Linked DNA regions of Rattus norvegicus. The protein of the gene in region 1 interacts with the protein of each later gene in a pairwise test. Links are inferred from orthologs where the notes say so. Each region holds a gene or a part of one and is shown in the gene's direction. Other genes may lie near its edges.

Region 1 (4,200 bases):
ACTGTGGGTGAGGGCTTCAAGACCCTCATCCTAGCTGCCTGGAAGCCAGTATCTGCTAACAGCCTTCAGGCGAAGATGTAGAACTCTTAGTTGGTAGGCATTCTCCTGACCCTTCTTAGCCCTTGGGTAGTGTGTGAATATTCCTTGTTCTTTTTTCACTTTCATAGCAGTCTTACTGAAATCTTGAACACATTTTCACCGGTGAGGTGCTTTGCACTTGACCTCCAAAGTTCATTTGGTCACTTTCATCTTTGGATTTTGATATCCAACATCCCATTTTTGTTAAATCTTTGGTGTTTTCCTTCTGTTCCAGTCTCCCGCCTCCAACTCCATTTACTAGCATTTCATTCATTTTTCACACGTTATTACCTGAAATAACTGTGGCACCTTATAATTTAATGCACCTGTACAATGAACTCAGTGATGAGTAGGGTCCTTCTTTTCCTTGCTCATGACCACGATCTCAGATTTTAATACAGAATTTGCCACATGTATACTAGCCCGTTTAATGATGAAATCTTATCTCTGGGTAACAAAATTTCAACTCACAGCTCAAGGTCCTTGGTACTGTTGAATTTCTCTCCTCGGTACTTATCTGTAGTAAGGATAAGACTTGAATTGTTAATTACGGTGACCCCAACGCTCTTCACGTAGATGATAAACTTCAAATCCGCCTGGGGAACTCCCACAATGAACTTAAGTTTTGTATGGATTTAACATTCAGCAAATTCAAACAGTAGTGACATCTTCCAGTTGGGCTAGACCAACCTGCATTACCAGAGTCACTGGAGATGACCTTCAATTTATAGCTAGTTGATTGTCTTTACTCCAGCCAACTCAGTTTTTTTACTCCGGACTGTACCTAGGCGCTTTAGCTACAAGGGGAGGTTCAAAAGCAAGCAGTTTGACAGAAATTATGTTAGCTGTGACATCTTGGCCTAAAGACCTAAAATAGTTGGGTAATTTTTCATCAAGGAAATCATTTCTAGTTCAACCTAAAATGGCCTCAGCAATGAAACAAGATGGAAGCGTCTCTGTACAATCTCGCCCTGATAGCACCTAATACAGAAAGAGCCGGAAAGCGGCCATGAGCAACCCACAATACACTGGAGGAGGTTCCGGCTGAGGAGCCTCACTTCCTGCTCACGCCTTCTATATCCGGCTGCCTACATCTCGCGAGAAGCCAGGGAAAGCTCGGTCGTCCAATCCAGAGCGAGCTTTGCCCCTCCCGCGCGCCTGCGCATAAAAGAAAAAGCAAGAGCAACGTGGACGCCGGCGGCGGTCGCGCCTGCGCCTTGGCGCGCTCCCCGTGATTGGCTCCCGTGACGCGACCCACGGAGCTTTAGTTTTCACTTTCTGTCTTCTGAGCCCCCTCCCTCTCTCACGGTCCACGAGGTTTCACTTCCGGTTACTGGTGCCGGGGGGGTGCCGGAGGGCGGACGCGTTCCCAGCGCCTGGCTGGTTTCTGAAGCCGCTTCTCGCCCGTGAGACTGAGTGAGGGACCGGAGCGTGCGCGCGCGGCCGGGGAACACCCGGGTTCGTGAGGCGAGGTCCGGAGACGCGGCAGGACGAGGGGCCAGGAGGAGAAAGGGACGGGCTGTTAAAGCATGGGAAGGACACTGAGCTGTGAGCTCAGCTCCTCAGGGAAGGCTGCCTCGCCGGGGACAGGTAACGCTCCCTCAGGGGTCGGGGCGTCCGGGGTGAGGAAGAGCGGGGCACGCGTGGTGATTGAGGGCTGGTGGGCGGGCGGGCAGGGCGACGCGCGGGGCCACTGGGCAGACGCCTCGGTCGCCCGGGACGCGGGGCCCCCATGCTCCGACCTGGAGAGGAGGGTAAGGTTAGACAGGGTCTCCACCGAGCCTGTGGAGGGCGTGGGAATGGGTGTCTGCACTCTGAGGCAGAAAGCCGGGCGCGTTTTGTTTGTGTCACCTGTCACAGGGCAGCTCCATGCCCAAGGGAGGTGATCGGCTCTGCACTGAAGCGTTGCCTTGGTTTGGGGTTGGCCTAGCTCCTCCTCCCCCAGAGGGGTTTTGGGGAAACCCTCAGGTCGGGTTTCTGGATTCCGTAGAATCCAAGGCAACGCATGACAAGGTTTACCCTTCTTTATTACGTACAATGGGCCTTCCCCATATGGAAGAGAGCAGCGGGCTGCAGCCACGTTGAAGGAATGTTGCAGTAGGCTGGTCCCGGCGTTGGTTAGAGGCGAGCCGGCGGGCACTTGGTAGGAAAACGTGGCTTAACTTTGAAAACTGGAGTTGGTTTGAAAGTTCTCGGGTCTCTTAAGTCTCGGTTGATGCGCCTTACTTTAAGCTACTCTCTACTGTACTCTTTCTGAAGGGAAACTTAGAACGGGAAGTCAATCAAAGTCTTTCCTAAACCTGTATAATACAAAAGCACCTGGGGACTCAACAGTGTCCGCCCTCAGAGGAGCAAAAGGAAGGCGGGGTGAATATGTCAGAGTGTAGAATCTGAGATTGTTGGAAAGCCTACCGAAGAGGTTTAGGACAAAGCACATACACCTGATAGTGTAAGCGAATACTCTCGTACTGGAAAATGGTTTGGTAAAGGATAGTTCAGTGTTATCAGTGTACATCAATACCTAGAGAGCCCAAGATAGAAAAAATAAAAGGTAACTGAGTATTTCTCAGTAATTACTATTAAGGACGATGATGTTGGAAGTGTGTTGTCAGTTCGTTTCCTACAATCTTTCAAATAAACATAAATGGCATCTCTTCTAGTCTGTAAACATTTGCTTAAATACATTGAAATTTGAAAACCGCCAGGAAACTTGCCTGGTACTATTTGTTACCTGTAGCATATCCGTTTAGCACAAATATGTTGGACATGTTTATCCGTCGTATCTTGTCAGTGGACATTTTTAAGATTTTTCTTATAAAAATTCTTATACATATATATAAAATGTTTTTCAAAGATGTATTTACTTTATTTATTTGAGTACACTGTAGTTACCGTCAGACACACCAGAAGAGGGCATCAGATTCTATTACAGATGGTTGTGAGCCACCATGTGGTTGCTGTGATTTGAACTCAGGACCTCTGGAAGAGCAGTCAGTGCTCTTAACCGCTGAGCCATCTCTCCAGTCCATAACAATTCTTCAGAGCTGTGTTTTTCACCTGCAGCTGTTATAAACAGGGTTTAGTTGCTGATGATAACTGTTTGTAGAATCAAATTTTTATGATAATGCTAGGCAGTTTGTTAAAAGCCCTGGGATGATTTTACTTTTAAAATTTAATTCCCCTCAGATTTGGTTTTCATTACTCTCCAAGGCCGCACCGGATGGTAACAATGTTTTCTAAACATTTTAACTCATCTAATAATTGAAAAATCATTTTAATTTTTAATCTTTCCTAGTGAATAAGAAAGGAAAACATTTGGGACAGCCCAGTATCCCTTGTTTATGATATTGGGTCTGAACACTCTGCTTTGACCTATTTACAATTACCATACTGTTTTAGTTATGGTAGCTTTATGATATACATTGGTACTTTCTTTTGGGTGGGGGAGACCAGGGAAAGCTCAGGATTCTTCTTTGTTCTTCCAGATAAATCATCTCAATCTCTATAGAAAACCACATTGGGATATTTGTGTTTGCGTTATATAGCTTATTCATTGCATTTATATTCATTTACGAAAAGACTTTATTTTTTCCTTCCAAGAATATATCTTTATTGTGTGTGAAAATGTGTTTACAAAAAAAGCAAGCAGGCTATTTGGCTATTTGTGCACATTGTTAATGAGCATTACAGGAACCTTAGAAATAGATTGTGTGTTTTCTAGAAGGAAAATCTCGCTTGAACTTTCACCGTGATCCTTATTTCATTAAAATATCTTGATCAGTCTTGAACTTAGAGAGTCATACTTTATATTCACATTTTGTTTTGTGTTCCAAAATTTATATTAACAGCATGTGTCTTTGTCCACATTTTTTTTTTAATTGTAACCCAGGCTACCCTTGAACTTGATATGGTAGCAAAGGCTGGAATTGAACTCTTGATCTTCTGATAACTCCTCTAAAATGCTGGAATTACAGACACACTGCCATGCTGCATTTGTGCCATGCTGGTGATTGAGACAGGGCTGTATATTCTAAACAAGCGACAAGCACTAGTCTACATCCCCAGCCAGTTCTTCTACAGTTGTAAAAATACTGCATTACTCCAGTTACATCTATTGATAAA
Region 2 (3,979 bases), on another chromosome or scaffold:
CAGCAGATTAATGGACAGCTGGAAGGTGCTCTGGGGACACAGACAGTCTAAAAGAATCAGAAGCGGCAATACCTGTCCCAACCAGGAGCAACCTTTCTTGAGGGGAAGTGAGGGTCTCCAGACATCCTAATGGGGTTGTTAAGTATTCATAGATGAAGGCTTTAAAAAAAAAAAAAGGGTTAGGGATTTAGCTCAGTGGTAGAGCGCTTGCCTAGGAAGCGCAAGGCCCTGGGTTCGGTCCCCAGCTCCGAAAAAAAAGAACCAAAAAAACAAAAACAAAAACAAACAAACAAAAAAACCAACCAAACAAAAAAAAAAAAAAAAAAAAACCACGCCATTCCGTGTGCATTTGGAGGACATGTGGAGGTTAGAGGCAATTTGCTAGAGTTCTTTGCTAGAGTTCTTTCCTCCCTTCGTGTGGGTCTGGAAGATCAAACTCAGGTACTCCCCACCCAGTCCCCAGGGTATGTGGCTGGCCCCTAGTGGAGCCGCTTACTCCTTCTAGAACCTTCTGCACCCTGATGCTTGGCTGGCCTGGGACTCTCAGGAAAGCAGTATCCCCAGGAGATACTAGCGCTTTGGAGACAGGGATTTGGATTTATCCTAGGGGCCTACTTTTGTAACTGTATTGAGCACTATTTGTACACTTTTTGTACTATTGTTCATGCTAATTTTTTTTTAAGACAGAGTCTCATGAAGCCCAGACTGGCTTGAGATTTGCTAAATAGCCAAGAATGAATGAATTTCAAACATTCCTGCCTCAGCCTTCGTAGTCAGGGATGACAGGTACCTAATTTCCCTAGTGCTGAGATTAAGAAAGCATTCTATCAACTGAACTGCACCTTCTTCTCCACTCTGTTGGATGGGTCAATTTCAGTCCTGCAAGGGCTGTGATAGGAGCAATGTCGGCTGATGGGGAATTCATGGGTGTGGGGAAGGGTCCACAAGTTGGTTACCCAGCGAATCTGCATCTTATAGAGTCTAGAGCCCGCGCAGAGGGGTTCAGTGGCCAGGATTTGGAGTCTGAGCCTCAGTCTTCCAACCTGGGCTGGACGATTAAGCACCCAGGCTGGGAGCGCGCCCCCGGCGCCCCCTAGCCTGCGTGGCGGCCGCGCGCACCGGCGCAGGGGGCGGCGCGGCCCCGCGGCGGGGAGGGGCGGGCGCGCGGACGCGCGCAGAAGCGGCGGCTGAACCCGGCGGACTAGCTGCGGCCGCAGCGCCGCCAATTCGCGTGCGACTCGCGCTTGCCCGCCGCCGAGAGAGCCGCCAGCGCCGGTGAGTGGCCTGGGACCAGCGAGGGGCGCGGGCCAGGGCGTGGGGCCTTTACCCGAGGCGTTGTGGGCGCGCGCGCGTGCCCGGGGAGTCGGCGGGGACGCCCGCAGGAGGCCGAGGTATCTGCGGCGGGCTCCATCCGCCCCGCTGCGCGGGAGTGCGTGCGTGTGCACATCAGGGGCCCCGACTGTGAGTTTGGGGTGGACCGGTGCGTGTGGACTGGCTTCGCTTCGGTTTATCGGTTTATCGTGTGTTTACTGTGGATGCCAAGGAGTACGTGTGCCCACGTGTCTGAACGTTCCCGAGTGAGTGTGTGCACACGTGCACGGGCAAAAGTGTACAAATTCCATACGAGTGTGTGTTTAGGATCCAGGCTGAGCACTCCACACTGCAGGCCAGTGTGTGTGTGAGGTGTCGGCTGACCCTGTCCGGAGACGGTGCTGGGTCGGATTCCGTGAGTCTGGGACCCTGGGACAGACACGCAGATCCCCCAGGTTCTGATTCTGGTGAAAGCTGCTCAGTCTGGCCTTGGCAGAACTCTGCATGGCCACGCAGGCTGAGGAGGGGGCTGCGCTGCACTTGAATTGAGGTTTTCTAAATACGTCTTAGTTCCCTGGCTTTGTTCGTGGCTGTTTCTAGCTAGGCCAGATTTAGACTCTGCCCCCCATATCTAGGGGTTAGGCCCTAGGGAGACCCAGGGCCCTAGATACTTGCTCTCTCTGCCTGCTCCTCTAAGTTAATCATATTCCCCTGATTTATCTGAGCCCCAGAGGCAGTAACAAATGGGTGACAGCACGCTTGGGACACATCCTTAAGGGCTGTTCGTGACGTTTTGATTGACAGTTTGTGCGTGTGTGTTTGAAAGTTTCAACGGCTTTAAAGCAAACTTTAGAAAGTTTCTGTTCAGAGTTTTACACCACTTGCAAACTACAGGTTGACTTATTGAGGGGAAAATGTCCTCACAGGAGTCTGGTGTGTGTAAAAGGGCATGTTAAAAACCCTGTTGCTAATGGGAGAAGAATTTCATTGAATGGGTGCCTGACTCCCAACAGGAGGAACTTAACCAGTGAACTTTGGACATCATCTTTCAGCACACAAAACCTGGAAGGAAACAAAAAAGACCCACGTTCTTTTTTTTCCTCTTTGTCCTGAAAACTGGAGAAGAAAAAATATCCCCACCTTCTGGATGTGTTGAAACTGTTCCCCTCCCCCATCAGGCCCAGGCTCTCCCTGGATCCCCCACCCCCAAATAAAATATGCCTGTGGGGAGCGGAGGAGTGAGTCACTCCCTGGCAGAGGGCCCCACGGCAAACATTTGGGAAGGTTCTTGCCTAACTTCCCAGAAGAAAAGGCCCGGGATTTAAAATGGTCCCTGTGGTTGTAAGCCTCCGAGCCCCGTCTGCTTCAGAGATGACTACAAAAGTCATTTGCTGTCTTTAAAAAGCCCAAGTCTCAGACTTAAGTGTTGACCGGCCAGGATTTAGAGCCGTTTAGGTTCCCAGAAATGGAGATGCTGACCTTTCCAGGTGGCACATGGTGCGGGAAAGGAGGAGGGAAAGGAGTTGGATCCTTTACAGACTGTGTGCTGAGAGAGGTTCTGGGGGTCCTTAACTCTCCTGGTATTCCATTCTGTTTTTGGGTTTGTGCCCAAGGCATCTGAATCATAGAAAGATCAAATGTGTCCCAGGCCACGAGAGAGAGGGTGGTGGCCAAAGTCTGAGCCACCTGCCTGCCTTCTAGGCCTTCCTCCTTCACTGAGCCCAAGACTTGACATTTGACTTCCTAAGGTGCACAGCTTGGGCACTGAGGACTTGAACACTCATGTCCTCATTAGGACTCACCTGTAAGTTGGAGGTTATTGTCTCTATTATCTGAGAAAACAGACACCAGGGGAGATGAACTGACTGGCAGAGTTCTGAGGAAGTAGCACCATGACCCATGTCCACCATTATTGAGGATGTGCCCGGTGCTGGGCTTGGTACACAAGGTTTGAAGTTATTTTTTCTTGTTCCCACCGACATTGTAAGATGAGAACTGTTATGGTGTCCATTCTATAGATGATGAAACTGGGACATAGGCTATAGAGTGGCAGTACACCCAGATTTTGAACCCAGACTTGTCTGGACAGAGTCTGTAAAATCTAGGTAAGTTGATAAATGGCAAAGTCAGGATTCTAGGACCGGCTTCCTTAACTTGAGGCACACCGGCTGGCTACCTTTATTGTGTTTTTGCTCTTCTAGCATGTTATAAAGCTCAGTGATTTATAACAGGCCAGGTTCTGCAGGCCTGCCTGGTTCCAGAATTTGGGGAGAGGTCCTCCCAAGTCTACCGAGCCACCAGAATGAAGGTAATACACAGTCTTTTCAAGTGCCAAGGATGCCCAAACTGTTGTCCCAGGGAGAATACTATTTCTCTCCCTCAGGTTGGACCAAAGAGGGAGGTGAGGGTGGAGGACTTGGTGAATCATTCAAGATTAGATATGGGTTACAGCCAGGTGTGGTGGCCCACGCCCATAATCCTGGCTGAGGCAGGAGGATTGCTTTGAGTTCTGGGCCAGCCTGGACTTACATAGCAAGTACCAGGTGTCCCAGGATTATACACCAAGACTCCATTTAAATAAATAAATTGATTAAATAAACACATAGATACTGGTTGGAGACAAACCTGGACTCGGCCCCAGGAAAAGCCCAGCCTCTGACCTTGTAGG
Region 3 (3,969 bases), on another chromosome or scaffold:
GTCAATGCTTTAGTAAGCAGGAAGGGAGTCAATGTTAAGGTAGACCTCCAACTCTCTTTGCTATCTCACTGTTCCTTTTTATTATTTAGTTTTCAAAAATTTTAATCTGTATTTGAGTGTTTTGCCTGCATGTTTGTATGTGCACGGGAAGGTGTTGGATCCCCTGGAACAGATGGTTGTGAGCCACCTTGTGGGTGCTGGGAACCAGACCCGTGTCCTGTAAAAGCAACGTGTGCTCTTAACCACGGCGGCATCTCACTAGGCTCCCCTATAACCTTCTTAACTCTAATGGCTTTATGGTCTGCCTCATCTCATCAATCTACACCCTTGATCGGATCTAAGATACTGCCAATGCTAATGACTTCAGGAGCACTGAAACCTCAGTGGCAAACACGATACTCTCAGAGGATACCTCTCTCACTGTCTCAGCTCACCCAGCTTCTCCTGTATCCAGAGTCCTTTGACCCCACTGGGCCCTCCACCAGCCTATTTTGTCTTCACTTCTAGCCGACTGGTTTCAAATCAATACTCCCTCAATATTTTCCCAGACTACCCTGTGCTCTCAATTCCCCTTTTGACTCCTTGACTAAACTTCACTCTTTCGCTGTATGCAAGCATCCCCGCAGCTAATCACAGTAAGAGAACAAACACCACTTTGATGAGCTGGGTACCACATAGAAGTAAGCCTTATGCCAGTACCTGCCATCACGTGTCTCGTCAATTCTCTGTCCCATTCTTTATTTCATACCTCCTGGAACAACTAAAAAGAGGTTGCTTTGTAGAGGTCTACGCGGAGTATGAAAACCACTCGAATGTGGATCCGCTATGCACCGCTGTCAAGTTGTTTGATAAAGTACAGGTTCTAATTCTGCACCTAGGGCACGGAGAGGCCTCGGTTTCGGCTTTTCTAATAAGCGCGTGTGCCACGGATAGACAAAATGCTTAGGAAGGCAAGGCGCGCCCAGCTATCACAACCTAGGCGGGTCGTTCCCAGCCCCAACCCCGACCCCACCCTCCGCTCCGCCCCAAGCCGGAGCTGCGCACGCACCCACCACAGAGGTGGCCTAAGTGCTGGTGGCTAGAGAGGCAGGCGACCGAGGCTGAGGAGGGGGCGGGGCTGGAGCGCAGGGGGTGGAACAAGAGGCCTTGTGGGCGGGGCCAGAGGCAGAGGCGGTACCGCGTCGCCGGCCTTGTAGCCATTTTAGGAGGAAACCCGGTTCGCTGGCTTGGGGCGCGGCTTCAATTTCAATAACTTTATTGGTCTCCTTGTACGCCGAACAGCCGGCGTGCGTGTAGCCACGCGAGCCCGGAGCGCATCGCCAGAGGTGAGCGGCGTGGGGGTGTGCGGGACCCGGGCTGTGGGGCAGCGAGGGCTCCTGGAGCCGGTTCTCCGAGCTTAGGCGTCCGTGAAGCGGGTAAGGGAGGGGACCCCGGGCGCGGTCTCCTGCGGCGGGGATTCCCTTCCCGGGCGCAGGGGCGGGGCCGGGGCGCTCCTGACGCGGCCGCGGGGGTGTTCCCCGCCTGGTGTCATTCCCCGCGGCAGGTTGCCCCGGACTCGAGCTGCAGCCATGGGAAACACCACCAGTGAGCGGGTGTCCGGGGAGCGCCACGGTGCCAAGGCTGCTCGAGCTGAGGGTGGCGGCCATGGCCCCGGCAAGGAGCACAAGATCATGGTGGGAAGCACCGACGACCCCAGCGTCTTCAGCCTGCCGGACTCCAAGGTGAGGTAGCGGGGCTGCGGGCTGCTCCGCCCTTCTTGGTTCTTCCTCATTCTCAAGGGTTATGGGCTTTTAAATTAGAAGGCTAGTGCGCGGACAGAAATGTTGGGTGCTAATTCCTGGTAGGTACTACCTCAAATTAGGATAGAGGCGCGGAGTTGTTTTCCTGCTGCTTTGAGTAATCTGTGGGCCAGCCTTTTAGGACGGGTACCAAAGACCCATCCCCTGCCCGCCCCATCCTTGGTTGTACGTGCAGGTTGCCCTGTTCTAGAGCTTGCAGGAAGAATAGGTAGTGAGCGCGGGTGGAAACTTCGAAGGGTGCATTGTCTGAGCTCTTGATACGAGCTCAGTTTCTCAATTGCCCTCAAGATAGCTAGATGGTTTCTTCTCCCTGAAAATGTCTCAGTGTAGATCTCGTTCTTGCTCTCTCGTAAGTGCTCTGCATCCCTCCTCCATCCTCGTTCACCGTTGTGTGGCTGAGCAGCCATCACTTGATTATTTGAATACTTTCCCCTAGTCTTGGGAATCAGTACAGGACATCATTTGGTTAATGGCTCAGTTTTTTTAAAAAAGGAAAAAACAGTGCCGTTTTAAAATGTAGCTGAGCGTTTTGCACACCTTGCTGCACTTCCCTGGAGAGCAACTTACTTCCCTTCACTCCTCAGAAGTACTTCAAAATGTTCCCGAGGCTCAAAACCACCCTCTCATGCCCTGAAGACTTTTGCTCTCAATTCCACAGACTTTCAGCCAGAGGCCACTTTTGGTCACCCAAAAGAAGAGCCAGACGGAGCTGACAGCAGTGTGATTACTACTCTAATGTTCCTAATTACTTTTAGAAATGTCAGCGTTAAATACATTTAATTTCTCCTGGTCGGCTCTCTGAAGTGAAAAAGAAAAGCCTTCGGGTGGTTTTTGGGTGGGGTGGTGGGGTGTGTTTGACATTTCTCACCCCAGTGAACTGAGACTTAAGATAGTAAACAAGAGTTTTATTTACCGCTTTGATGGCACATGAATGTTGGATTATATACCATATTTTCTTCGATCCTGATTTAGAACGCCATTTCTTGGGGTTCCCTCTTCCCTGTTTCCTCTCCTCTAGGATTCCTCATTATCTGGGCCCTGCACTCAGCCTAGATTTTCTTCTCCGAAGCTTGTCCAGGGTGACAGACAGGCCGTGTATTTTTGCTCGTTCCTACATTGATGACTCAGGATTTGGGTACAGTCAAACTGTGACTGCAGTAATTGGTGTCCTGAATAAGAGCCAGGCTGCTCTGTGTGCGTTTAGGCCTGTTCTGGATCATTCTTTCCCTCACATCTTGCTGTGAGATGAGAAAAGTAGTTCAAACAATTACCCATGTCTTACCCAGACAGAAAACTTCATAGCCCATGTACTCTCCCTCTCCACACTAAATTTCCTTAAACATTTGCAGGCCGTAATTTGAATTGCTGGTTTGCTGCTGTTCTGATGGTTTCGCTGAGGGTTTAACTCCAGTAAACAGTTTTTCTGCTAGTCAGCTGCAGTCACTCCTACCACAGAAATGTCATGTCATAAGTGGAAGGGCTTTGCTCCAAAGCCAGGCATATTAATAGTTTGGAGTTTTCAAATCCTAAACTGAAAATCCTTAAGTCATAAAAGTAATTGATAAGAATAGTAGGGTTGGGGGCATCTTTGTTTCAAAGGTCAGGCTTATTAATAGTCTTACTCAGTGCTCCTCAGTCCTATTTGTATGACCGGATCCCCCAAGAATGCTTTAAAAACCTTATGGGAAATCTGACACACTTATAAAATGAACAGTGAAATGAACTACGTATATGTCACCCGTTTTAAATGGTGCTAAAAGGTCATTAAATGACTGTGCCTCTGTGATCCAAGCCATTCCCCTACCAACCACTCTGAAACAGATTTCAAACAGGTCAACAAGTAGTATTTCTAACATTTTAGGACGTACCTCAAAAGGTGACTGTTTAAAGCTGACATGATGGTGCCTCACAGCTGTGATCTCAGCTGTTTCAGAGCGGGAGGAGGATCACTGCCAGTCTGGACCACAGTGAGAACTTGACCCCCTAGAGAAAAATAAGAAATGCTTCTCCTTGTTTATTGTAACGTGATAAGAGTGCTGTTACCTGAAGGCTTTTTAAAAAAATATATTCACAAAATCCTTTGCGGGACTCAGACTTGAGGGTTGTTTTGAGGCTTATGGAAACATTCCCAATGCAACTGTCAGCCCCAGTGCATTGCTCTGAGATTACA
Region 4 (4,247 bases), on another chromosome or scaffold:
TTTCCATTTGGTTTTATCTGATATCTTGATTTCTTGAAACCTCCGGAAATGTAACTGTGGTTCCTGTCTATAGAAAAATGCAGAGCCCCAACTTTTGGTAGTGGTGGGGTGTATAATTTTCAGAGGATTCTGAACACTCCAGGTTCTCCAGTGTATCATCTTTCCACCACTCTTGGTTAAGATTTATAGGGCTGAGTGTGAGCTTTGTTTCTACTGTGAAATGTTACATCTTTCCCTTAATGAGTCCTTAGAGCTGAGAAGCAGCTTCTTTGCAAATATCACTATGTCTAGCACCATCCTACCTAATGCTTGGCAGAAAACGGACAATTTCTTACCTCTGAGAAATTAACAGCCAAAGGAATGATTCCAGCCACGTAACATCCCACCAACATTGCCAAAGACAGCAGACTAATGGAGAGAAAGTCATCCATTCTGCCCTCCTGTAGTCACCCCTCCACCAGGCTTTAAAATTCCAGTTTCAAACGGCGCTTGGGCTGTTTAAACGTGTGGTCTTCCAAGAAAACGGGAATTTCCTCACTTCTTTCAGCCTTGCCACCGGCCGGTGAGTTCATGAAGCCCGCCGCTCTCTTAAGAAGCAAGCTCCTTTTGCTGATACTAGCACCAGAGAAAACTTTGCGCAGTCTTAGGTACTTGGTTGCCAGTCACTGGGATTCCGGTAGGTAACAGATGGAGAAATTGTGCAAAAAGAGATCTCCTTAATCGTCAGAATGAGGGTGACACGACGACCCGCTCCCCAAGACAACGTCCCTGGTAGCAGCAGGAAAAAAAAAGGTAAACCCAAGTGTCTTCTCCACACGCGGTACCAGTTCCCAGGGGTGGCACCGCAGGTGATACGCCCCCAGGGAAGGGACCAGCCCACCAGTGCCAGCAAAGTACCTTTCGAGTCTAGAGTCGGGCAAGATGTCCTGCAAGTCTCTAACAATGGGCTGGAGGATTCAACAGCAAAGTCGATACGACGCTGTCTCTGTCCTACACCCGGTGCTACCCATGGTACTTCCCTCAGCCAGGCCCTGACCCTGAGCCGCCAATACTACAGCTGCCATGGCCGCCAAGTGGCACCTCTTCATTACTCCCACTTCCGGATTGTCTCGCCGCCTCCTCTTTAGCAGGGCACTTCCGGGTTACAACCGACCTATAGGCCCGGGCCCTTATATTGCCGCCATTTTTTAGAAAGGCTAAAAAGAGATGACTGGTGTCGCTGTTGTATTCCCCATCACTTTAGCCGCCTATCTGTTAATTAAAGTACAGAAGGCAACACCCTGAAACAAAGTGTTCTTTCTAAAGCTCCGAAAGATTCTCTTACACATCTCCGCGCCCTTATCCAAGATGGCTGAAACAGAGTCGGTATCCACTCTAGAAACCGGAAATGTGTGAATCTCTATGGTCCGAAAGGCTCTTTTGCGTCGCGCTTCCGACGATTTCCGGCGACGGCTCTCGCGGGATTGGCTGTTGGCGGCGTTGCGGCTGAGCTCGTGTGCGGCGGCGGAGGTGTTATCGGCGGCTGCAGCAAAGCGTTTGGCGCGATGGTGAGTTTCTCAGCGGTTGCCGGGGTCCCCCAACTTCCAGGGCCACCCCTGCTCCATACATCTTCCCAACCTTCCCGCCCCTGCCCATCTAGCGCGAGCGAGCTGCTCCCCGCCCCCTTCCCCCCAGCTCGCGGATGGACCCTTTCCCTTCCCGGCGCTGAGCCGCGGGGCCTTGACTGTAGGCCCCGAACCTGGTCTTACTTGCGGCTGCGCGCCCTGATGCTGGGGGCGATGTGTGCGGTGGGCTGAGAATACGCTATCTGCCGATCGCTGCCTGTAAGAGGGAGGCGTGGGGTGCCGTTCTTTCTCTTCAGATGCACTAGCGGACTCTAGGAACAATGGCCGGGGAACGTGTGTCAGACGTTTCCTGAAACTGACACACCCGTCACCTTTACTGTTTCCCGTATGTCGGCCTGGGGGTTCGGATTTGCTTTGCAGTGTGCAGCATCAGCCGTCCCTCGGCCCCCGAACTTAAAAGAAAAAAGTTTTTCCCTTTTTCAGTATCCTTACTTGCCCTGTTTTGGCAATTATGTCAGCATTCAATCTTGCCTTGGAAGTGGAGCCAAAAAAGAGACTCCAGGGTCCTGGCCCTAAAATCCAACAAGGAATGTTTTTGTTTAGTTTGTTAAGTTATGTGTCTGTTTGCACGTTAGCACAGGTGCCCTCGGAGGCTAGAAAAGGGAATGAGATCCCCAGGATCTGGAGTTACAACAGGCGGTTGTGAGCGGAGGATGTGGGTGCTAGGAACCAAACGCATGCCCTCTGTAAGAGTAGCACGTGCTCTTAACCAATGAGCTATCAACATTCTCGTTTTTCTTTTTTCGGATCTTAAAAGATTTCCTTTTCTGTGTATGGTGTTTTGCCTGCATGTCTTGTGCCACTTGCATGCAGTGCCTGCGGCAGACAGAAGAGGGCGTCCGATCCCCTGGATTGGAATTACCGGTGATTGTAAGCGACCATGTGAGTGCAGGGAATTGAAAACCGGTCCCTTGGAAGAGCAGCTTGTGCTCTTAACCACTGAGCCATGTCTCCAGTACTCCAGCCCTCCTGCTTTTAAGTAAACAAAGGGGAAAGATTTGGAGCAGGTGTGTTTTTACTTTTCAAATGTTACTATTTCAAATTACTCCTTAATTTGCCTTAAAAAATTTAAAAATGTGGCAAAGAGTGACTACCTTGTTGTCTAGGATGAGCCGTTACAAGAAAGTAAATATGGTTTCCATGAGACCAATTTTCTTCTCAACCACAGACATTCTGAAAGTAACTTTTGAGTAGCTGGCCTTTTATGAGCCCCTACACAACTAATCCCACTTTCTCTGCCTATTAATCACCAAAAAAACACTGTTTACATCGTTACAGTTTCTTTTGTTACCAACCTAGGGTTTCGTCTCAAGTCTTCTCAAACTTAATCAAAATGACACAAATCTCTGGGGATGGAGAAATAATAATGTTCTCTTGCTATATGAAATTTAAATTACTTTTTTGTTGTTTTTTAATACCCAGATAGCCTAGATCTCAGATTCTCAGTTCCATTTGTTGATAATTAAATTTTTGGATTGTCTCAAAATAGTTTGGACATCCTGACATAAGAATTTATTTTTTACCAAACACTAGTATTGCAAGTGAAGAAAACAAGGTGAATAGTTTGGTTGAGGATTAGGCTTGCAGTGGGGTTGCATCATGCTAGCATTTGTTTAATTAATTATTCATTCTTAAATGCATGGGAGACACTACATAAGATTATGCTGACCAGGATTCTTCTTTGTCTCATTTGAAGACATTTTTTATTTTTGCTACTTTGAAGGGAATTGTTGTTGGTGACATATAGTGAGTAGAGACCAAAGATGCCACAAAACATCCTATGTCAAACCCAAAGAACTCATTACTGTCCCAGAATATACTGAGAACTCTGAACTGACTCCACTCCCTAGTGAGCAGGAGAAAGGCTTTCAGCGTCCTGCAGTCCCTCTGAATTCACAGATAAATGATTTGGGTATGCGCTGGCCCTTTAAGGCAATGGATGATTTTAGTGTGGTATTTACTATATACATTTTATATTGTTACTTTTTCTTACATCTTGATGTTTAATAGCTCCTGTATAAAATGTGACTCCACTGTTGTGCTCAAGTCAGAGAAGACATTAGGTCGATACAGTGATTATAGTATTTCCTTTCTCCTTTGATTACCCCATGTCTTAGTTTTTATTGAGTTAATAGAGCTAGAGGCCAGTGGAGACAGAAAACAGGTTCTAAAGGTTGTTAGTAAGAAAAATACAGAAGCAGGTATATTTGGAGTTTGAGAAATGATGCAGCAGAGAGTAAAGGACTGACTTAGTTAAGGGAGTTGTGACCCAACACTGATACAGAAGTACTGCAGGATGAGCAACCTAGTTATGTTTCAGTAACTATAATACCTGTCTGCGTCATGTTGGAGCTTATGTCATGACGTGAATTTCTGAGTTGCTTGTTAGGATATTCATTGAAGTTGTTTTTCCCCTTCAGTCTCACACCATTTTGTTGGTACAGCCTACCAAGAGGCCAGAAGGCAGGACTTATGCTGACTATGAGTCTGTGAATGAATGCATGGAAGGTGAGTGAGCACGGAAGGTAATGAAGGGGAGTCCTCAGTCCCTCACACACACCATACCATTCTCTTGGGAGATGAGTAGCATGTGGGGATGAGAATCTTTTGCCCCCTACTTTC
Region 5 (4,178 bases), on another chromosome or scaffold:
AGTCTGCCAAAAACCCAAAATATGACATTAAGTCAAGGCGGTTAGGAACCAATTCTATTGTCACCGTCTTCTGTTCAGGTCCTTGGAAAGTGAGGTTGTGATCACAGACATTTTTGTACCACATGTAGTAGCCGTGTGGACCCAGCGAATTGCTGGTAATGTTTCCGAGGAATGTCCCACTGTCCAGAACTGTCATGGAAACCCTCCCAGCCCGCCCTAAGCTAGCCCTTGAAGTTGCAGAAAGGTGGGCAGCATACCTCTGTCCAGCTACATGCCCCTCTAGGACTGAGTGACCTGACCGTCACTACTCAGGAGGGACAGGCAGTAATGTTTCTGGAATCACAGGAGGGATGTGTGACTCAGCCCTCCCCCCAGGTCTTTTCTCCTATACCCCCACAAGCCCAAGGTTATAAACAAGTGACTCAGAGGCATGGTTGGGGAGCGCTCCATTACACCTCCTACCAGTGTCCCAGGGCTAAATTTAACCCACAGCTGCAGCTTTTGGCGCTTGGAGAATTCGTTAATCTTGGAGGCTGAAGCCCATGTGTAAATTTGGGGGATGGACAGGAGTCCAGAGCAAAGTGGGGATTGAGATTGGGTATCCTGGCTCAACTTCTCAACTCCTCAAATCACAGACGACAGCTACGGGGCCCCCAAGGCCAGGGAGAAACATGGTAAATCTCACACAGATTGAGGACAATGGGACAGAGTTATTGAGCAGTAATCAGACTCTTGGAAGTTCCACCATTTGGACACTAAAATTCAGAATGCTATTAGAATATTAAAATTTAGGTCTATCCTCACCCCCACTCCCACCCCAATAGTAGAATCCTAGGAAATTAATTTTCTAGCAGGCTTGACACCTTTGAGTCCACCCTGCAGCTACCCCAGGGTCTCTTGCCCTTAGCAGAGCTGAGCTGAGACCCTTGGATTCTGGCTCCTCTCCCTCCTTGAATGGGAAAGGAAACTGAGGCCCAACAGAGAAACACCTACCCTTACTGAGCTTGGGCAGAGGAAACTCCTTCCCATTTTGGGTCTCTAAACAGAGACTGCCAAGGACAAAGGCATGTTCACCAAGCAGGAAACCAAACATACTGTAACCAGGGGTGGCTACAGTCCCCTTCGTGGGTAGCCACATTTCTGGACTAAGGAATCCAGAGACAAAGCTTTCCTGTGTGCTGGGCTAAGAGACCTTCCAGTTGTGGAAAGGTCCAGACACACCCCACCCTCGCCCCATGATCCCCTATCTCTGACTCAAGGCTGCTCAGGGAGAAAGCCTCTGCTCAGCTGTCCCCTGTGAGTCATTTGCAGGAGGCCAGGCGGCTCCTCTTACAGGGTCCAGGCATCCTCTATATATAGCCCAGAGAAGACAGCTGCACAGTCAGTGCACTGCCCCACAGGAGAGCAGAGGTGTGCAGGGCAGCCCTTGACAAACAGACTTGCTGAGTTCCAGAGAGCCGCACCATGACGCTGGGCTTGGAGCAGGCGGAGGAGCAGCGTCTGTACCAGCAGACGCTCCTGCAGGATGGCCTCAAGGACATGCTGGACCACGGCAAGTTCCTGGACTGCGTAGTGCGTGTGGGTGAGCGCGAGTTCCCGTGCCACCGCCTGGTGCTGGCTGCCTGCAGCCCCTACTTCCGTGCGCGTTTCCTGGCTGAGCCAGATGGCGCGGGAGAGCTACGCCTGGAGGAGGTGTCGCCTGATGTAGTGTCCCAGGTGCTGCACTACCTGTACACATCGGAGATCGCGCTGGACGAGGCAAGCGTTCAGGACCTGTTTGCCGCGGCGCATCGATTCCAGATCCCGTCCATCTTCACCATCTGCGTGTCGTTCCTGCAGAAGCGCCTGTGCTTGGCTAATTGCCTGGCTGTCTTCCGCCTCGGCCTCCTGCTGGACTGTGCGCGTCTAGCTGTGGCCGCGCGCGACTTCATCTGCGCACGTTTCCCGCTGGTGGCACGCGACAACGACTTCCTGGGACTCTCAGCTGATGAGCTGATCGCCATCATCTCCAGCGATGGCCTCAACGTGGAGAAGGAGGAGGCAGTGTTCGAGGCTGTGATGCGCTGGGCCAGCAGCGGCGATGCCGATGTGCAGGCCGAGCACCAGCGTGCGTTGCCCACGGTCTTCGAGAGCATTCGCTGCCGCCTGCTGCCTCGTGCTTTCCTGGAGAGCCGCGTGGAGCGCCACCCACTTGTGCGCTCCCAGCCTGAGCTGTTGCGCAAGGTACAGATGGTGAAGGACGCACACGAGGGCCGCCTCACTACGCTGCGCAAGAAAAAGAAGGAGAAGGGTGAGCAGACAGCTCGGACCAAGGAGGCCAACCAGGGCACAGAAGACACCAAGGCTGAGGATGATGAGGAACGAGTGCTGCCCGGGATACTCAATGATACTCTGCGCTTCGGCATGTTCCTGCAGGATCTCATCTTCATGATCAGCGAGGAGGGCGCTGTGGCGTACGACCCAGCTGCCAACGAGTGCTACTGTGCATCCCTGTCCACCCAGATCCCCAAAAACCATGTCAGTCTCGTGACCAAGGAGAACCAAGTCTTCGTGGCCGGTGGCCTCTTCTACAACGAGGACAACAAGGAAGACCCTATGAGTGCTTACTTCCTGCAGGTGCCTGGCCTGCCTTGGGAGGGAGGGACTAGTGCTGGGTTCTGGGAAGGGCCTGCGTCTACTTGGGGGTCTGTCATTGGATCTAGGACCTTTGATTGGCAGCCAGTTGCTTGAAGGGGAAAGAGTTACAGCCAGTTTCCAAAGAGGCCCAGCGGAGGGGTTGGAGGGTCAGAGACAAGTGCAAAGAATCAATAAACAGGGCTTTGGCAGAAGTGCCAGGACCGGGTGGGGAACAGATTATCACACAGAGAGCACCTTGCTTTCTCCTTTCCAGGGCAGGAAACTGAGTCTCAGCAGGGGCTGGGAGGCAGGTGAGCCAGTCCAGGTTGAGGATGCCACTGTGAGAGCTCAGAGGCAAGGAGAATCTACAGCCTGACCTGTGGTTTTGAGCCTTGTCAGCTGGGTGAAATCCAGAGATGTGAAGGGGGAGGGGAGGGAGTTAACACTGTTGGTAACCCAGACAGACAACCCTGTCACGATGGCCAGGTGAGCTGGTATAGGCAGCCAGGGGCTGATAAGCAGCTGGGTGCTAAGGTCAAGTCCACAGGCCCCACAGCTGGAGGAGGTGAGGGGCAGCTCTCCCAGGCCGTCTGGGAGAAGTTTCTGAAGTTAAATGGTATCAAGTGTCTATCCATACCATGCAGCTACTGGACAACTCTCTGAGGTGGGCCCCTTGTACTTATAACCACTGGGTTAGGCAGACACAGATGGTGGGATGGAAGGCTATAGATTTTAAGGGGTGGGGGAAAGGGCTGACCCAAAGATACTGCCCGCCCACAGTTTGACCACTTGGACTCTGAGTGGCTGGGGATGCCGCCTCTCCCCTCACCTCGCTGCCTCTTCGGCCTGGGGGAGGCTCTTAATGCCATCTACGTGGTCGGCGGCCGGGAGCTCAAGGACAGCGAAGACAGCCTGGACTCAGTCCTGTGCTACGACAGGCTGTGAGTGTGTGTGCAGGGGTTGGGGCCACCTTGGGGGACAGGATGGTCTGGGGCAGAGGCCATAGGGTGGGGCTAGGACCACAGTAGCAGCCAGGAGGCCTGCACAGGTGCACGGCCATCGGGTGAAGACCTGAAAATAGTCCTTGAGCAGAGGAGTAGGTGGGTTGGTTCGAAGGCCCAAGAGCTCAGGGGAGGGGAATGTACCCAACGCAGTCTGGGTGTGTGTCGTGGGTGTGAATTCGGAGAGCCAGACTCCACAGGAGCTTAAGCTGCACTCCGGGCTCTCTCGTTCCTCCAGGTCATTCAAATGGGGTGAGTCAGACCCGCTGCCCTATGCGGTTTACGGCCATTCCGTGCTTTCACACATGGACCTTGTCTATGTCATTGGCGGCAAAGGCAAAGACAGGTGAGGTTTAGCCTGGTGGCGAGGAGGTTCTGTGTGGCTGAGGGGCAGACAGTTGTCCCCCACCCCAGCCTCTGTCTTCACTCACCCCATCTACCCCACAGGAAATGTCTGAACAAGATGTGTGTCTACGACCCCAAGAAGTTTGAGTGGAAGGAGCTAGCACCCATGAAGACAGCCCGCTCACTCTTTGGGGCCACCGTCCATGATGGCCGCAT
Region 6 (4,003 bases), on another chromosome or scaffold:
ATACATATACAGCCACCCAATTAGACAAGATGGATGAAGCAAAGAAGTGCAGACCGACAGGAGCCGGATGTAGATCGCTCCTGAGAGACACAGCCAGAATACAGCAAATATAGAGGCAAATGCCAGCAGCAAACCACTGAACTGAGAATAGGTCCCCTGTTGAAGGAATCAGAGAAAGAACTGGAAGAGCTTGAAGAGGCTCGAGACCCCAAAAGTACAACAATGCCAAGCAACCAGAGCTTCCAGGGACTAAGCCACTACCTAAAGACTATACATGGACTGACCCTGGACTCTGACCCCATAGGTAGCAATGAATATCCTAGTAAGAGCACCAGTAGAAGGGGAAGCCCTGGGTCCTGCTAAGACTGAACCCCCAGTGAACTAGTCTATGGGGGGAGGGCGGCAATGGGGGGAGGGTTGGGAGGGGAACACCCATAAGGAAGGGGAGGGGGGAGGGGGATGTTTGCCCGGAAACCGGGAAAGGGAATAACACTCGAAATGTATATAAGAAATACTCAAGTTAATAAAAAAAAAAGAAATGAACAATAATTTGATTGCATAGCTTGATAGTAAAACAATTTTATTGTGCTGTTAGCCAAAATATTTACCTACAGTAAACATATAGTTAACATTTCCAACAAATTTACAAAATTATACAATGAGAAGTTAACCTCAACTTTAGAGTATTTTCATTTCTCTAATAATCACGTTGCCCTTCGGTTCTAATTCCATTTATTGTTTTTTGTTGTAGGATACGGAGCTGATATTATCTCTTCTAGTTTCTCTTGCTATTCATAGAGAGTGTAAACTATATCTTTATCTGTTAATCTGCTTGAAACTGAGCTACAAGTGGATAAAGGTCCTCAGCATAAAACCTGATAGTCTGAATCTGGTAGAGGAAAATATTTGGATTATACTTGAATTTACTGACACAGGAATGCATTTTCCCCAGTAGTTAATACATTAAATCCAATTAATACATGGTAACTCATGAACTAGACCGCTTCTGTAAAACAAAAGACACTACACTATCACTTAAGTAACGAGGCAGCCTTTAGAATGGGAAAAACTTTAACAATTATGTATGTGGGATGATGTCACTGGTGAGGCAGGTACAAGATAGAATGAGGCCTGTCATTGGACGAAAAGGAAGGATGGGCGGGAGAAAGTTTTGAAGGAAGAGGAGGAGACAGAAACGGAAGAGGGGAGGAGAGAGGAGCGAAGCCGCGGCAGAACAATTTGGAAGCCTGTGTTTAGATTCCACGCTGTACCTCAGCAGGTTATATATGTTCTTAAGGGATGGATGTGTAATGGGCTTTGTATGTTTAGGTGGGCAATTGTATTTTATCAATTGGATCAAAAATTATTGTGTTGTATCATCTTTCATGTGTAGATTTAAATGTAAGGAAGTGTGGGGCGGCTTGTCTGGGTCGACATGGAGTTGGGATGTGTGTTTCTGGCATGGAAACCTGCCTTGGGACCTAGATAGGTAGAGAGATTTCTTCCAGGCTCAGAGAGGCCTTCGGCAGTGTGATATGGGATGCAGCAGAGCAGGTGAGACGCTTTGCTGACTGAGTTTGGGATATCTATCAGATATCTTGGGGGTACTGTGGTGCCGGACCTAGAGAGGGTATAAGACAGCATTTTATTTTTATAATTTTCAACAACATATATATCTGACACGTTAATATTTAGAGTAAACAAGGAACTACACATCAAGAAAACAAACAATGTAAGTAAAAAATGGGGCGTAAAATTAAACAAAGAGCTCTCAAAAGATGAAATGAATATGACGGAGACATTTTGTTAAATGGTCAACATCCTTAGCCATTAGGGAAATGCAAAGTAAAACTACTTTCAAATTTCCTCTTACTTCAGTCAAAATGACTAAGATACAAATAGCAAGTGATGACAAATACTTGTAGGGATTTGGGGAAAGGAAGCACTTGTTCACTACTTGTTGAAGTTATTCATCAGTGTGTTCACTGTGGAATTAGTGTAGAGTTCCTCAAAACACTGGAAATTAATCTACTGCTTGGGCATATACCAAAAGAACCCTATATCTTACTAAAGAGACACTGTCTCATTCATGTTCAATGCTTCTGTATTTATGATAACCAGAAATGGAAACTCCCAGATGTCCATCAACCAATGAATGGATGGTAAAAATATAATACATTTATACAATGCAATACCATTCACCCATTGAATACTAAAGTTGAATTTTTCAGGTAAATGCATGTATTTGAAAACAATCATTCTGAATGATGTAAAACAGACACCCTCCTCCCCAAAGGACAAATGTTGATTGCTTTTACTTGTTGCAGATGCTAGTTTTGCATCTTCAGATTTGTGTATTTATTTTGAAATGCCCATGGAAGTCAGGAAACTAGTAAGGACATATGGTGGGGCATAGGATGCTTTTAAGGGACCAATTAAATGATGCAATCATTTAAAGGGAGAAAAGGGAATAGTGAAATAGGAGGAATGAATAAGGTGGGAGATGGGTAAACTGGTTAGAAGAATATATACATAGAACAATAACAAAAGATCTATGTACAAAGTCATATGGAAACCTATTCCCACATATATTGGAGCTGTTAGCCAGTGAAGTCCCATAGACCTCCAACTATTAAATGCTATTGATATTGCTCTTGGTTATCCTCCAGAACTTGACAGTAAGACCTTATTTCTGATGACACCGCATACTTGAGTCATAGAACAGAAAGAAGTCAAACTGGTATCCATCTGATAGCTTCATTCTTACTGGATAAATTCCATGTTGCTGAAAGGTGCTATGTACGTTAACAGAATGGAAAAATAATCAGTAACTAACTCAGTTGTACAATGGTGGCATGGATATTTTAAATGTAGTAAACTATTTTTTTTCATTTAAGGCCTGTTCCACAAGATGAAACACATAACTAGCACAATTATTGAGGGCAAGAACTTTTGATCAGGTAATTCATAGTCCCTAGGGAAGAATTTGCTATTATTATTCTGCTAAATGGACACAGTGTTAGTATAAAACTTAGCACTATGCTAGTAGATTTGTGGGTAGTTCAACCCTCATCACCGTCATCGGAGTAGCTTCTTTTTGAAGTAAATGGTGCTAACATAAAGAACTAAAAGCAGCTCCGGTGCACTAGAGTAATAAACTACAGAATTCTCAGCCCAAATATGATAAGTGAATCATACCTCTTCACCCAAGTCAGGGATTATTGCAGAAGAAGGAGTGAAAAAGAATGTTAGAGCTTGTCAATGTGGATAAGGACAAAGAAACAGTACTTTCTGGGAACAACTATGTGGTTTCACATGAAACCCACAGTCACTGAATGTATACAACCCGTGTAAGTTCAAGCCCAACAGAATTTCACCACGGGGAGAAGAGGTGGGTATATTTCACATCTATGTGAAGACGATTGTCAGTTGATGGCTTCTAAAAAAGGAAGCATCAGTTTTGCTTAAGGGTGTGGCTTAAAGTCTAATGGATGACCCTATACCCAAGAATATAAAGATAACCCAAAGCAGACTGGATGAGTTAAAAACAAAACACAAAACCCCAAACACAAAACCAAACCAAAACCCCACAAAGTTCGGTGGGCAGGACAAAGGGCATGAATCTGGATGGTTTTAGAAGAGACAGTGGTGAATATGCTCAACTTGTATGAACTTAAATAACTAACAAAAGTACTTTAAAAGAAAATGGACATATACAGTATGATGGTATTTTTTTTTCCTGCCATTTTCAGTTTGTATAATTTTCCATTCCAGCATCAGTGTGTTAATGCCAATTCTGTGTGCCCTTACTGGCACGTGACATTTTCACATTTTCCTTACTATTTTCTTGTTTATCTGGCAGGGCTGTATCTCGAAGTTTCACCCTCTTTTTTCCTAGAACTTCATGATATTCTGCATCTTCACCAGTGATTTCTATTGGTGCATTTTCTCTTTGGAAATGTTGGTTCACATATTTTTTCATGTTAAATTCTATTTTCTCATT

Evidence for each region.
Region 2: the proteins of Tasor2 (region 1) and Nek6 interact in binary tests that used the Homo sapiens proteins (3 or more experiments, as listed by UniProt). The link is inferred for Rattus norvegicus from reciprocal best matches to the Homo sapiens genes TASOR2 and NEK6.
Region 3: the proteins of Tasor2 (region 1) and Prkab2 interact in binary tests that used the Homo sapiens proteins (3 or more experiments, as listed by UniProt). The link is inferred for Rattus norvegicus from reciprocal best matches to the Homo sapiens genes TASOR2 and PRKAB2.
Region 4: the proteins of Tasor2 (region 1) and Erh interact in binary tests that used the Homo sapiens proteins (3 or more experiments, as listed by UniProt). The two-hybrid records come from large-scale screens. The link is inferred for Rattus norvegicus from reciprocal best matches to the Homo sapiens genes TASOR2 and ERH.
Region 5: the proteins of Tasor2 (region 1) and Klhl40 interact in binary tests that used the Homo sapiens proteins (3 or more experiments, as listed by UniProt). The two-hybrid records come from large-scale screens. The link is inferred for Rattus norvegicus from reciprocal best matches to the Homo sapiens genes TASOR2 and KLHL40.
Region 6: the proteins of Tasor2 (region 1) and Ldoc1 interact in binary tests that used the Homo sapiens proteins (3 or more experiments, as listed by UniProt). The two-hybrid records come from large-scale screens. The link is inferred for Rattus norvegicus from reciprocal best matches to the Homo sapiens genes TASOR2 and LDOC1.

Annotation. Positions count from the first base shown.
Region 1 is NC_086035.1:71,503,422-71,507,621, forward strand, and holds the start of Tasor2 (transcription activation suppressor family member 2), read left to right. Parts: upstream 1-1,400; 5' UTR 1,401-1,668; intron 1,669-1,788; exon of another isoform or gene 1,789-2,221; intron 2,222-4,200.
Region 2 is NC_086021.1:42,692,815-42,696,793, forward strand, and holds the start of Nek6 (serine/threonine-protein kinase Nek6), read left to right. Parts: upstream 1-1,179; 5' UTR 1,180-1,275; intron 1,276-1,282; exon of another isoform or gene 1,283-1,480; intron 1,481-1,553; exon of another isoform or gene 1,554-1,577; intron 1,578-1,704; exon of another isoform or gene 1,705-1,726; intron 1,727-3,979. UniProt on the Homo sapiens protein: Protein kinase which plays an important role in mitotic cell cycle progression. Required for chromosome segregation at metaphase-anaphase transition, robust mitotic spindle formation and cytokinesis.
Region 3 is NC_086020.1:187,944,840-187,948,808, forward strand, and holds the start of Prkab2 (5'-AMP-activated protein kinase subunit beta-2), read left to right. Parts: upstream 1-1,169; 5' UTR 1,170-1,325; exon of another isoform or gene 1,326-1,415; intron 1,416-1,543; 5' UTR 1,544-1,568; coding exon 1,569-1,721; intron 1,722-3,969. UniProt on the Homo sapiens protein: Non-catalytic subunit of AMP-activated protein kinase (AMPK), an energy sensor protein kinase that plays a key role in regulating cellular energy metabolism.
Region 4 is NC_086024.1:106,019,722-106,023,968, reverse strand, and holds the start of Erh (enhancer of rudimentary homolog), read left to right. Parts: upstream 1-1,447; 5' UTR 1,448-1,544; coding exon 1,545-1,547; intron 1,548-2,438; coding exon of another isoform or gene 2,439-2,495; intron 2,496-4,045; coding exon 4,046-4,133; intron 4,134-4,247. Other genes in the region: Slc39a9 (zinc transporter ZIP9), read right to left, coding at 336-431. UniProt on the Homo sapiens protein: May have a role in the cell cycle.
Region 5 is NC_086026.1:130,317,415-130,321,592, forward strand, and holds the start of Klhl40 (kelch-like protein 40), read left to right. Parts: upstream 1-1,378; 5' UTR 1,379-1,464; coding exon 1,465-2,616; intron 2,617-3,396; coding exon 3,397-3,557; intron 3,558-3,855; coding exon 3,856-3,963; intron 3,964-4,064; coding exon 4,065-4,178. UniProt on the Homo sapiens protein: Substrate-specific adapter of a BCR (BTB-CUL3-RBX1) E3 ubiquitin ligase complex that acts as a key regulator of skeletal muscle development.
Region 6 is NC_086039.1:145,000,564-145,004,566, forward strand, and holds the start of Ldoc1 (protein LDOC1 precursor), read left to right. Parts: upstream 1-1,203; 5' UTR 1,204-1,279; intron 1,280-4,003. UniProt on the Homo sapiens protein: May have an important role in the development and/or progression of some cancers.